Xenopus tropicalis: one gene and its partners. Each later gene encodes a partner of the first gene's protein in a complex. Links are inferred from orthologs where the notes say so. Each region holds a gene or a part of one and is shown in the gene's direction. Other genes may lie near its edges. The genes, in order: kcnd2, kcnip2 and kcnip1.

Evidence for each region.
Region 2: the proteins of kcnd2 (region 1) and kcnip2 are in contact, whole or in part, in a cryo-EM structure (PDB 7UKH), measured with the Homo sapiens proteins. The link is inferred for Xenopus tropicalis from reciprocal best matches to the Homo sapiens genes KCND2 and KCNIP2. Residues at the interface, in NP_036413.1 of Homo sapiens: Val5, Ala7, Trp8, Leu9, Pro10, Phe11, Ala12, Arg13, Ala14, Ala15, Ile17, Gly18, Trp19, Met20, Pro21, Val22, Ala23, Ser24, Gly25, Pro26, Met27, Pro28, Ala29, Pro30, Trp55, Asp57, Arg61, Arg100; in NP_775283.1 of Homo sapiens: Arg112, Gly113, Phe114, Asn116, Glu117, Cys118, Val123, Phe128, Ile131, Tyr132, Gln134, Phe135, Phe136, Tyr144, Leu148, Phe152, Phe165, Leu169, Ile172, Leu173, Arg180, Trp183, Ala184, Leu187, Tyr188, Met201, Met205, Ile208, Met211, His228.
Region 3: the proteins of kcnd2 (region 1) and kcnip1 are in contact, whole or in part, in a cryo-EM structure (PDB 7E8E), measured with the Homo sapiens proteins. The link is inferred for Xenopus tropicalis from reciprocal best matches to the Homo sapiens genes KCND2 and KCNIP1. Residues at the interface, in NP_036413.1 of Homo sapiens: Ala2, Val5, Ala7, Trp8, Pro10, Phe11, Ala12, Arg13, Ala14, Ala15, Ala16, Ile17, Gly18, Trp19, Met20, Pro21, Val22, Ala23, Ser24, Gly25, Met27, Ala29, Pro30, Gln33, Arg35, Lys36, Arg37, Thr38, Gln39, Asp40; in NP_001030009.1 of Homo sapiens: Thr60, Arg62, Glu63, Val66, Leu67, Arg69, Gly70, Phe71, Asn73, Glu74, Phe85, Ile88, Tyr89, Gln91, Phe92, Tyr101, Leu105, Phe109, Phe122, Leu126, Leu129, Leu130, Lys137, Thr141, Leu144, Tyr145, Val162, Ile165, His185, Phe189.

The regions. Positions count from the first base shown.
Region 1 is NC_030679.2:69,236,101-69,239,755, forward strand, and holds part of kcnd2 (potassium voltage-gated channel subfamily D member 2), read left to right. Parts: intron 1-1,612; coding exon 1,613-1,790; 3' UTR 1,791-3,655. UniProt on the Homo sapiens protein: Voltage-gated potassium channel that mediates transmembrane potassium transport in excitable membranes, primarily in the brain. Mediates the major part of the dendritic A-type current I(SA) in brain neurons.
Region 2 is NC_030683.2:31,291,840-31,295,494, reverse strand, and holds part of kcnip2 (Kv channel-interacting protein 2), read left to right. Parts: intron 1-3,089; coding exon 3,090-3,160; intron 3,161-3,605; coding exon 3,606-3,655. UniProt on the Homo sapiens protein: Regulatory subunit of Kv4/D (Shal)-type voltage-gated rapidly inactivating A-type potassium channels. Modulates channel density, inactivation kinetics and rate of recovery from inactivation in a calcium-dependent and isoform-specific manner.
Region 3 is NC_030679.2:32,024,411-32,028,065, reverse strand, and holds part of kcnip1 (Kv channel-interacting protein 1), read left to right. Parts: intron 1-1,091; coding exon 1,092-1,196; intron 1,197-1,782; coding exon 1,783-1,845; intron 1,846-3,655. UniProt on the Homo sapiens protein: Regulatory subunit of Kv4/D (Shal)-type voltage-gated rapidly inactivating A-type potassium channels. Regulates channel density, inactivation kinetics and rate of recovery from inactivation in a calcium-dependent and isoform-specific manner.

The DNA.
Region 1 (3,655 bases):
GTGGAGGAAAAGGAAATAAATGACTACATGGGTATTATGAATAGTGACCTTAGGACTGATGAAAAATGCTGAATGAGTTATCTGTTATAAAAATGAATTTAAAAGAGCAGTAATGAAAATACATATGTTCTGCCACCAAGGAACAAAATTATATGCTATTCAGAATTTATTTGTGCATGTGCCATTTCTAAGTATACTTTGAGATATATTAAAGTGATACTGACACAGGCCTATCAGTGATATAAATTGTGTCCCACTAATAAAGTCCTTTGTAAAATTACCAGTACCAGGCCCAGCACTGCCTTTGGGACTAACATTCTGACATACTGACCCAGAGTCAGATCTGCTTGCACACAGGCTTTGTAAAGACTTAAGTAAGATGTACTATTGTACCTCAGCTTATAGGAGGGTTGTGAAAGTACCACATTACTGACAAAGTGTTCTGCTTTGCAAGATGTCAGGCAATGTTAGACCCTTGGGTAATGTTGGGCTGGGCGTTGATTGCATGAAAGAGTAGCATGTATCATTGATAGGAATGTGTTAGCACCCCTTTAATAGCTGGGGAGAATACCAGCTAAGTAAGCCATGGCTTACTGCATACATCCACTTAGATTTCATTGTGCGTTATTATGCTTTAAGTCTTCTGCTTTCTATGGTATACTCAGTCGATATACTCGTATATAGTTTTACAAATTTGGATTTTTCATTTTATGGACTTTTTATACACTACTGCGTACTTGTCAAGTCTCCTCTCAGGTCAGGAACCTTCTTTAATAATGTGTATTGTGGTTGAATTAAAGAAAGAATAGGCTGAACCTAACAATAGATTTCATAAACCAATAAACCCCACAAATCTGAATTACTGCAGGCCCACCAAGCAAGCTAAAATGTTCACTGTTTCCTGAATCCTGTAATTTGTTTGAGTTTGAAAAGTCAGTTAATATGTGCTCTACATTATTGGCTTCTCTTCCCAGACTTGTATATCATGCACGTTGGCATATGTTAAGGTAGCTGGGATCCTGTGTTTTAACTCCCCCTGCTATTTCAGCACAAGACTATGCTATTGATTCTGTGGACTTCCACAACCGTAGCTCATTAAACAAAGAATAATATTGATACTAATTATTAATACCCAGAAAGTTCCGAATTACAGGAAGGACATTTCCCATAGACTCAGTTTATTTTCCAATTTTCAGAAATGATTTCCTTTTTTCTCTGAAATAATAACAGTACCTAAAAACAGTACCTAGCACTTGATTCAAACTAAAATCGAATTAAATCTCATCGAAGGCAAAATAAACCTATTCGGTTTATTTAAAGTTTAATATTTATTTATTTTAATGTTTTGCCTGCAATAAGGATTAATTATATCTTAGTTGGTATCAAATACAAGGTACTGTTATTACATTATTACAGAGAAAAAGGATATATGTTTTACAATTTTGATTTATTTTATTAAAGTAAAGTCTATGTGAGACAACCTCTTCTCTAACATGTATGAAAGAAGGTTTGTTTACCAGATGTATGTATTAGCACAATATTGAATTAAATGTCTGGCAGTATCCAGAGCATTGGTGTCTAACTTTTCTATGCTCTTATCTCTTTGTGCCAGCCGATCCAGCTTGAATGCAAAAGTGGAAGGAAATGTTAAGTTAAACTGTGAGCAGCCTTATGTGACTACAGCAGTAATAAGCATCCCAACACCACCAATGACTACACCAGAGGAAGATGGCAGATCAGAATCCCCTGATTACTCACAAAGGAACATTGTAAGAGTGTCTGCTCTATAAACTTCATACCAGAAGGATTTTGTATTAAATGCAACATGAGCCCCACAATCCGCTCCAAAGGAAAAGATTTTTCAAGCAGCAGTTTATTTGCATAATCGTTAAAAAAATAACAGGTCTAAACAATGTACAGGGACAATGCAAGATCTCCCAGTGCACCCACAACTCTGTGACTAAGTACATAAGCACAATGAATGTTCCCCATTGATGCTTTTTCTCAGATGCAACATTTTTATATGAAAAATGAAACCGTAACACCCTCGCTGAGAGTATTAGGGAGAAAAAAAAAAGCATTACAGAAATGGAAACATTTTGATAACATTTTTCCCCAGAGGGAACAATGAACTTTGCATAAAGTAATGTGTATAAGAATACATGCGCAGCAAACCTATTTGTACTTATTTAAATGACATCTGTAATGCATGCAAACATCCTTCGGAGCAGAGATCTGAGATAATTGAAGCTGTTTCCACCAAACACTGTTTTATGTGAAAAGACCCTTTCAGCGCTCTCCTAACAACAGGATGAAAAATGTTTACAGTCGCTAAACAAAAACAAACAGAACTGTTTTGGAAACTAAACAGGATTTATTAAGGTATTACGGCAGAGTTAGCCGCTGTACAGGAATATGGATTTATTAAATTTCTGTTGTTGTTTCAGTAACAACTGCAATAATGAATTGTCCATTTGCAACATCAGGAATCCAAAAATTTATTTCGAAAATTCAACATTGAGTATAGATAAGTGCTTTTCAACACTTACAACAATTGGCCGATCTATTTACTTTTGGTGAGGGCATGGTTTTCTTTTTTTTTGTGTTCATTAAAGGATTATCACTTTGAGAAGGTGACAGCTATATTAGCTTAATGACATTTGAAAATGAAAGATTTCCACTTTGAGTCCCTTTTTTGTGTTATTTGAATATGCATGAAGAACGACTGTTTTTTTGTCCTGGATGCTTGTAAAAATGTTTTCCTTCATCTGTATTGTTTTGTAGTGCAGGTTGTGTCAGAATTCACATTTCTAAACAATTGTGAAATGAAGATAATTTAAACTGTCTCTGAATATTAAGAAACAAAAGAACAAAATGTATGAAAAGCATAGGACCAACAGAGCAGAAAGCAGTAGGAGAAAGCTTGATGAATGGGTTCTTATGACTTGCATCTATTTTCTCCTGGATCACAGATTTAGATGGTGTATAGATAAAATTCAACATTTACATTGGACACTCATATGTGTAACACATTTTAAACCTTTCTTGTGGATAAAGGGGCAGCCAAGGAGAGCCCCATGAAGTTGTAAAGCTTATTAGACTTCAACCAAGAGCTGGTTTTATAAAAGGTTACATTATTAACACCATCTAAAAATGTGCTCATTGTGCAAAATATGGCCAAATGGTGGCTTTATTGATTTCTGCCATTAAAAGGCCAAATCCCAAAACAAAGTACAGTACTCTATCATTAAAAAAATATATAGATAACATGTTTTAAATGATGATAAGCGGAAATGCAATGTCCTATGCCAAATACACTGTGAAGCCATTTCTCTATGCTAGAGTATATACAGTTCCATCTAATTTAACCAAAATATTTATGAGCAACAATTAAGGGAAGGCATTGTATTCATTTATCCCCTGAAACTGTACTATAAATACTGTACTTCAGAGAGAAATTATCTTAGTATTTATTCTATCCAATATTTTCTCCTTTGGCCTTTAGATGTTATATATATATATATAGATATTACATTCAAATAAAAAAGCTAAATATATATAATTTTCTATTATACCATTTAATATTTACTTGATTTAAATTGAGTTTCTTTTATTAATTAAAATAAACTAACACAGGTTATGTAATAACATGGAC
Region 2 (3,655 bases), on another chromosome or scaffold:
GGACGGCATCTGAAAGGCCACCTCGGGGTGGCAAGGACCCCAGAAGCCCCCCTGCTTGTGGGTGATTATCACAGGAAATTACTGTACAATAGCAGTCTAGAGCAAGGAAGAGTCTTATTTTATTTATGTTCCTTAATCCTTTCTTTCACTTCTTGTTTTGTCTGACCAACATATGCTTTACCACAAAGGCTTAAATAATTAAATAAATTGCATTCATAGTTTCACAAGTAGCATAAACTCTTTGACAAAATGACAAAACCTTTGGCGACTCAGTGGGCTTCTTAAATCTGCTGAACACAACATATTTCCAAGTGTCCTGCCTCTAGCGTAACTGAACAAGGGAAGGTCACTAAACAATTTGTCCAATGTCTTATCTTGTAGTACTATGGGTCAATATCATTTAATGATATTTTCCACTTTCCTGCTCTAGGTGCTATATTTTGATACAAACAGTATTCTGTTCTAGCTCCTCTTTCTTTTACAGGCTTTGTCTTTTCTCTTGTCTTACTGGTTTAACAACCTGTGTAATAAAATTGTAATCATACCCCTCCCTTATCATTAAACTTGGTTATCAAGTTGATAGCTGCTTTCTGATATGGTTGCTGTAGAGCAAACCCTTTTTGCCCTCCTTTGGAATTGCTCTCAAGATATGGGGTCAGTGAAAGCTATCTGGTGATAGGATGTTATTGCGGTCAGTAGGTTTACGGTATAATTCTGTACTGATACCATCTTTAAAAGATGAATATAGCACTGCCAATTCAAGGCACAGCTTATATATGTGGACGACCAAAGGTCTCTTTGTTTCTAAATGAAAGACATGTGCCAATTCATATGACATGGAAGGCAGGGTGCAAAATCTAAAATCCTGACTGTGTTTTGCACTTTGTACCCTGTCTCTGGTGTAAATGACCCTAAGGGCTCTGGTACATAGGGAGATTAGTCGCCCGCGGCAAAACTCCCTGCTCGCGAGCGACTAATCTCCTTGAGTTGCCTTCCCCCTGCGATTTGCGCGAAATCGCGCTGCCGCGTCTGCCATCCCGCCGGCGACTTACATGTTCGCCAGTGGGATGGCAGGGGGAAGGCAACTCGGGGAGATTAGTCGCCCGCGAGCAGGGAGTTTTGCCGCGGGCGACTAATCTCCCCGTGTACCAGAGCCCTAAAGGTCACCATACATGGGCTGATTCTAGCTGCTTATATCAGTCCCTTAGACCGATTTGGCAGCTAATCGGCCCGTGTATGGGCACTCCCGACGGACTGCCCGACTGATATCTGGCCTGAAATCGGCAAGTTAAAAAATCTAGTTGGAACCGACTTTGCCTATACCCGTCGTTATAATTCGATCGTTTGGCCCCAGGGCCAAATTAGCCTGGATTCTCCCAATATCGCCCACCCATAGGTGATGTTGCCAAGCGAGCGGATCTGAAGGTGGGCAAATCCCCAGCACTATCTAGTTGCTAGCCCTACAAATGGTAGCTCAGCCACCCCCAAAGAGACAATTCTGAAAGTAATTTCCACTGAGCAATTTTCAGTACTTTGTGTTCCATCTGTTTTATGTGACACTGCAGATAGATGCCAAAAGGTAACTCATTTCAAAATTACACAAAGTATCCATATTATCTATCTTAAGGGTTATTAAATTAGATTTCAGACAGCCCCCTAAAATAGATTTTGCCAATCCCAGATGCTATAAATGCCACATTCAGAATATACAGAAGGTGCTGTGCTTCATGTTTAATGACAGTGATTTGTATTCAGAGAGACTGTTCCAGTCTGGTTTGTGGGGTCAGGTTCATCCCCTGTAACCCCGTGTGTAGCATGGTTTTGCTTTTACACCCATTAACTGTAGCTTGAAAGATATAATGATATTTGGTGCCTATTACACATATAATGAATAATCAAATTACCTGCAAGCAGGCTGGTGATAAAAGGCAATACCCACCCGATTTATGAGCAGGATTTAGCTAATGGATTCAATTACCTATATAATTATTAATCTTATTATGTACAGGCAAACTGGTGATAACAGGGAATTTGTAACCTACTTAGAGGCAGGTTTTCTCTAATGGCTAAAATGACATTTATAATCACTAAACCAAATGCTGACAGTTATACTGACTCATATAAAAACTCCTAGTTTTGTGGTTATGTTTCATACAAAGAATTGTCCTTGTCACAACAGTTTTCCTTGCAGACATAAAGCCAATTGTAGTTAACACTCGATACACAAACACTAAACATTTCATATGCAGTATTCATATTTAACAATATATCTATGTTGATTAAAGATTAGGATCGGTCCTTAATCCCCACTTGTAACATTGTCAAGGGGTGTTTAACACTTCATGGAGCAGAATGACGGCCATATTTTTGAAAATTCTCCTATTGACCAGGACAGGAACTAGGGTTGTGTATAAGAGGCATATGCCTAGGGTGTAACTCTCTAACTCTGGCCCTGTGCTGACTTGCTGTTCATATACCTGTGGGGGGCAGGAAAGGCAGAACGATGAGGAATAAAGGATGAGAGAGAGAGTTGCTGAATGCTACTATGAGAATGAAGGGAACCTAAAGGGGGGAGATATATGGCTGCCAACTTTAGTGGTGCAGTTCAGGAGGGGGCTGGGTTCTTCTCAAACTTTTATTCTCCTTTAAAGAAGAAGGAAAGTTAAAATCACTGTGTGGTGCCAAATCGTAGGCACCCCCTGTGGGTAAGATCATTTGTCTGATACCCCAGGCTGGTGCTTCTATTAACAGAAAATCGCACCAGCCTGGGGTACCTGGAGATGGGCAATCCTCTTCCTTCCTTATCATTTTGCTGCGATCGCAGGGCCCATGCATGCACAGTAGAATCAAAAAGCCAATTTTTAAAGCTTTTCACTGTACTGCACATGTGCAGCCGGTGCTTAAGAAGAACTTTTGGCACCCCCAGTGGTTCCACCTTTCCTTCTCCTTTAAATACCAAAGTGCAGTTGGTCTGAATCACTGAACTATCCCAAAAACTGCATTATAAATAGGGTATGGTAGGGGCATTTCCTGATTCTCCTTTGCTTTCTATCTCAAATGATGTCTGTCTGCTTTGCGTTATGTTCTAGATTCCAGCATGTACGCTCATTTTCTCTTCAACGCATTTGACACTGACCACAGCGGCTCTGTCAGTTTTGAGGTATGTGCCTTTTGTTCCGTGAGTAAAAGAACTGCAACTTTTCTATTTTAAATGTGTGTCAATGCTTGGAGGACAAGTTCTAAAAAGACTGTGCAAATCCCATGTGGGGAGTGAAAGGGCTTTCTAATTAGACTCAGTCGCCAAATGATTCTCGTAACTGTAGAAGAATTCTATTATTGGTATTCCCTAGAAAGCCAGCACTCCATTTACTTGACTCTCTCTCAGAAAAAAATGTGCTCTGGTTGTCATAATGTCTAAAAAAGAAAGGCGTATCTTTTAGAAAAGCTCTTCATTTCGTTTAAGAGAAACGCTCTGTCAGAACCTATTGTTCCTAATACATCAAACATCTGATTATAAAGGAGTTGAATACATTATACTGCTTAATGGATCATATGTTTATTACTTTGTTCTCCTATATATCACTGTTCTGTTTTCTTTCCTACAGGATTTTGTAGCGGGGTTATCGGTGATCTTACGGGGGACTATAGATGACAA
Region 3 (3,655 bases), about 37 Mb from region 1:
TGAAGCGTAGGGATGTAGCGAACCTCACAAAAAAAGTTCGCGAACCCGTTTGCGAACTTCTGCCAAAAAGTGCGAACTTTTGCGAACTTTGCGAACCCCATAGACTTCAATGAGAAGGCGAACTTTGAAACCTAGAAAAGCCATTTATGGCCAGAAAACTAATTTTAAAGTTGTTTAAAGGGTGCCACGACCTGGACAGTGGCATGCAGGAGGGGGATCAAGGGCAAAAATTTCTCTGAAAAATACGTTGTTGTAATCAGTAATCAGAAAATAAAAGCAGTCCTTACAAGGAATATTGGGTTACCGCAGATGAGATCAGAAGGACAGCTGCCCACAGCAGCTACATACAGAGCAGTAGAAAGTAGATTACTAGTCAGCAAAGCTACCTAAACTGTCCCTCAAACCCCTGCACAGCTCTCTCCCTATGCTAACTCATCAAGCACACACAGGCAGAATGTAAAATGGCTGCTGGGCTTCGGTTTATATATGGAAGGGAGTGGTCCGGGGGTGGTCCAGGAGGGAGAGCTGCCTGATTGGCTGCCATGTATCTGCTGGCTCTGGGGTGAGAGGTCAAAATTTGGCTCCAGCTAAGGCGAACCCAAAATTGCGAACATCGCTAAAAGTTTGCGAACTTGCGAACTTGCGAACACCCGATTTTCGTGCGAATTAGTTCTCCGGCGAACAGTTCGCTACATCTCTATTGAAGCGTTACAACCCTGCACTGTGTTACTGACATCAAGTTTACTTGATGCCAGTAACAAGGCTCTTTAATATACAGGTATGGGACCTGTTATCCAGAATGCTTGGGACATGGGTTTTTTTAAATAAGAGGTCTTTCAATAATAGTTTTATGGATAACGGGTTTCCGGATAACATATCCCATACCTGTATTTTATATGTAATAAAAGGTACTAAGTTTGCCCAGATGCAATAACCCATACAGGTAGAAGTTTCTGGTCACCAGCATCTTATTGGTTGCTATGGGTTACTACTACTTAGTGCCTTTTAATACATAACCCCCAAAGTTATGTTTTACTCTCACACTTGCTCCTGTTACAGTTAGTTGTTTTACTCTTTTGGTTCTTACTTAGGAAATGATGGATATAGTAAAAGCCATATATGATATGATGGGGAAGTACACCTACCCAGTCCTTAAAGAAGATGCTCCAAAACAACACGTAGAAGTATTTTTTCAGGTACAGTATATTGTTACAACTAATTTAATATCTACAAGTCCTTCTCCATCATGGATTTGGCTAACTTAGTCCAATTAAGGCCATACATGGTTGGCATATTTTTAAATCCCAGGTGCATGTGTTTACACCTATCAACACTGAATCTCATCTGCCACTTAACTGCCCTGTCTGCTGGCTTGTCCAGCTCTCCCTGTAAGGGAGATGTTACTAATAAGGCTTCCACGCTGACACAGTGCTTCTAGCCAGAATAGTCTTTGTGTCCACATACTATTTATTCCTATGGGATTTTTAGAAGTGTATTTATCAATGGATAACTTTCACCCATTGCTAAATACTCTTCTGAAAATCCCATAGGAATGAACAGAAAGTGGGCGAGTTTTTATGTATTAAGCTCTACACTCACATTTTGATAAACCTGCTCCTAAGTTTTGAAAAACTAAAACCAAATAATTTTGTTAATGGAAAGTGATAGAGGTTATGAATTATAAAAGTGTTATTTATTACTATACTCTTTATGCGTGTGTATTCTTACTAATGTTTTTAGCAGGAGATCTGTAATATTCACCGGCAGCATTTTATATTTCAGAAAATGGACAAAAACAAAGATGGCGTTGTAACATTAGATGAGTTCATTGAATCTTGCCAAGAGGTAATTTGTTTTGTTCCTAGTTAGGTACAGAATTGTGGAATTATCTGCATCACACTACAGTGCATATGTCTATGCTGGCACAGTGTTTACACTGTACTTCAGTACAATAAAGGAACCAAGTTCTGGAATTTAACATTTTGTAAAATGATCCACTTCTCTTAGACGTTTGTCAATTTCACACTGTAAATGTAGAATAATTGAACCCCACAATCCTTTAGAACAGGATCATACAAACACCAGACACAGAGTAGGGGCAAACAGACATCAATATTTGTACTGTAAATTAAGCCATACTGTATGTCTGATGTCATCTGTGACACCATCACTTATGTCATCTTTCATGTGACTTACGTGCAACCTTAACAGCACAGTTTGAGGTGTTTTGTAGCCTAATAAAAAGCTTTAAAGGAGCAGTTTAGTGTAAAAATGAAACTGGATAAAAGTGATAGACTGCGCAAAATAAAAAAATGTTAGTTAGTTAGCCAGTAATGGAATCTATAAGGGCTGGAGTGGATAAATGTCTAACATAATAGCCAGAACTCTACTTCCTGCTTTACAGCTCTCTAAGCTGTTAGCAGTCAGTAACCAATCAATGACTTGAGGGGGGGCCATATGGGACAAAACTGTTCAGTTAGTTTCCTTTTGAATCTGAACTAAATGCTCATAAACTAACTGAACAGTTATGTCCCATGTGCCCCCCCCCCCCCCCCAGTCACTGACTAACTAAGAGGCGCTAGAGAGCTGTAACCAGGAAGTAGAGTTCTGGCTATTGTGTTAGACATTTGCCCACTCCAGCCTTTATAGATTACATTTTTGCCTAACTATATAAGAAACATTTTTATTTTGCTCAGTCTATCCATTTTACCCAGTTTCATTTTAACACTGAACTGTTCCTTTAATTGTGCTTTAAAAAAATATGTGTGTGTTTGTGCACATTAACTGCAACAATAACTGTGCTGCACACTCAGAAGTTTGTTATTGGTGCAGAAATTATTGAAGGAAAAAACAACTTTCAGCTTGCCTTCCTCAGGGACAAACAAACATGGTTCCCAACCCTACAGGAACACACACACCCCATTCCCTTCTGTGCCGCGAAAGGTGCCATCAATAAGAGTTGAGAGGGAAACTACTATCCACTTTGCGGTGCTTGAAAAAAAAGCTCATAAACAAATAGAACTCATAAGCGTGAAATGTGTCAAGAAACACATATTATGAATAAATGATATAACAGTGTACAGAGCTAGAGAACAGTATTGTCTGGGGATTTACCTACAGTCCAAAAATAAAATGTTAGTAATGAAAAAACAGAGAAAAATAGAAAAAAGGCAATGAAAGATTAACTTCACCGTTGTGGGTGGCACGGTCCCCTAGACAGACCAACCCTCAGTCACATGATGTGTTGCAGAACACATTTATAAAATATGAGCATCAGGGTTCCATTAAGTCTAACATAGGCCACCCCTGGCCACACCAAGGACATGTCTCTGCCCGTTGTGCCAGTCCCACTGATAACAGCAGTATGATCTTCTCAATCATCTGATCAAAGAATGCCTGTGTTTTACCATACGGAACAATTCATGAACTTGGCTACACATTCTGTGTAATGTGACAGTTAGTTCGTAATCAGTTTAGCATTGTGAATTGGTCCCTAAGCTCAAGTAACTGACTGCTGCCCAGAACATGCATTGGGGCTGGTACAGAAGCCCAAATAATTAGATCCCGAGTGTGCAAAATATATATATATGCATATAGATCAACAGATATGAAATAGATATTAAAATAGATACAGTCAATGTTGCATTCCCAATTG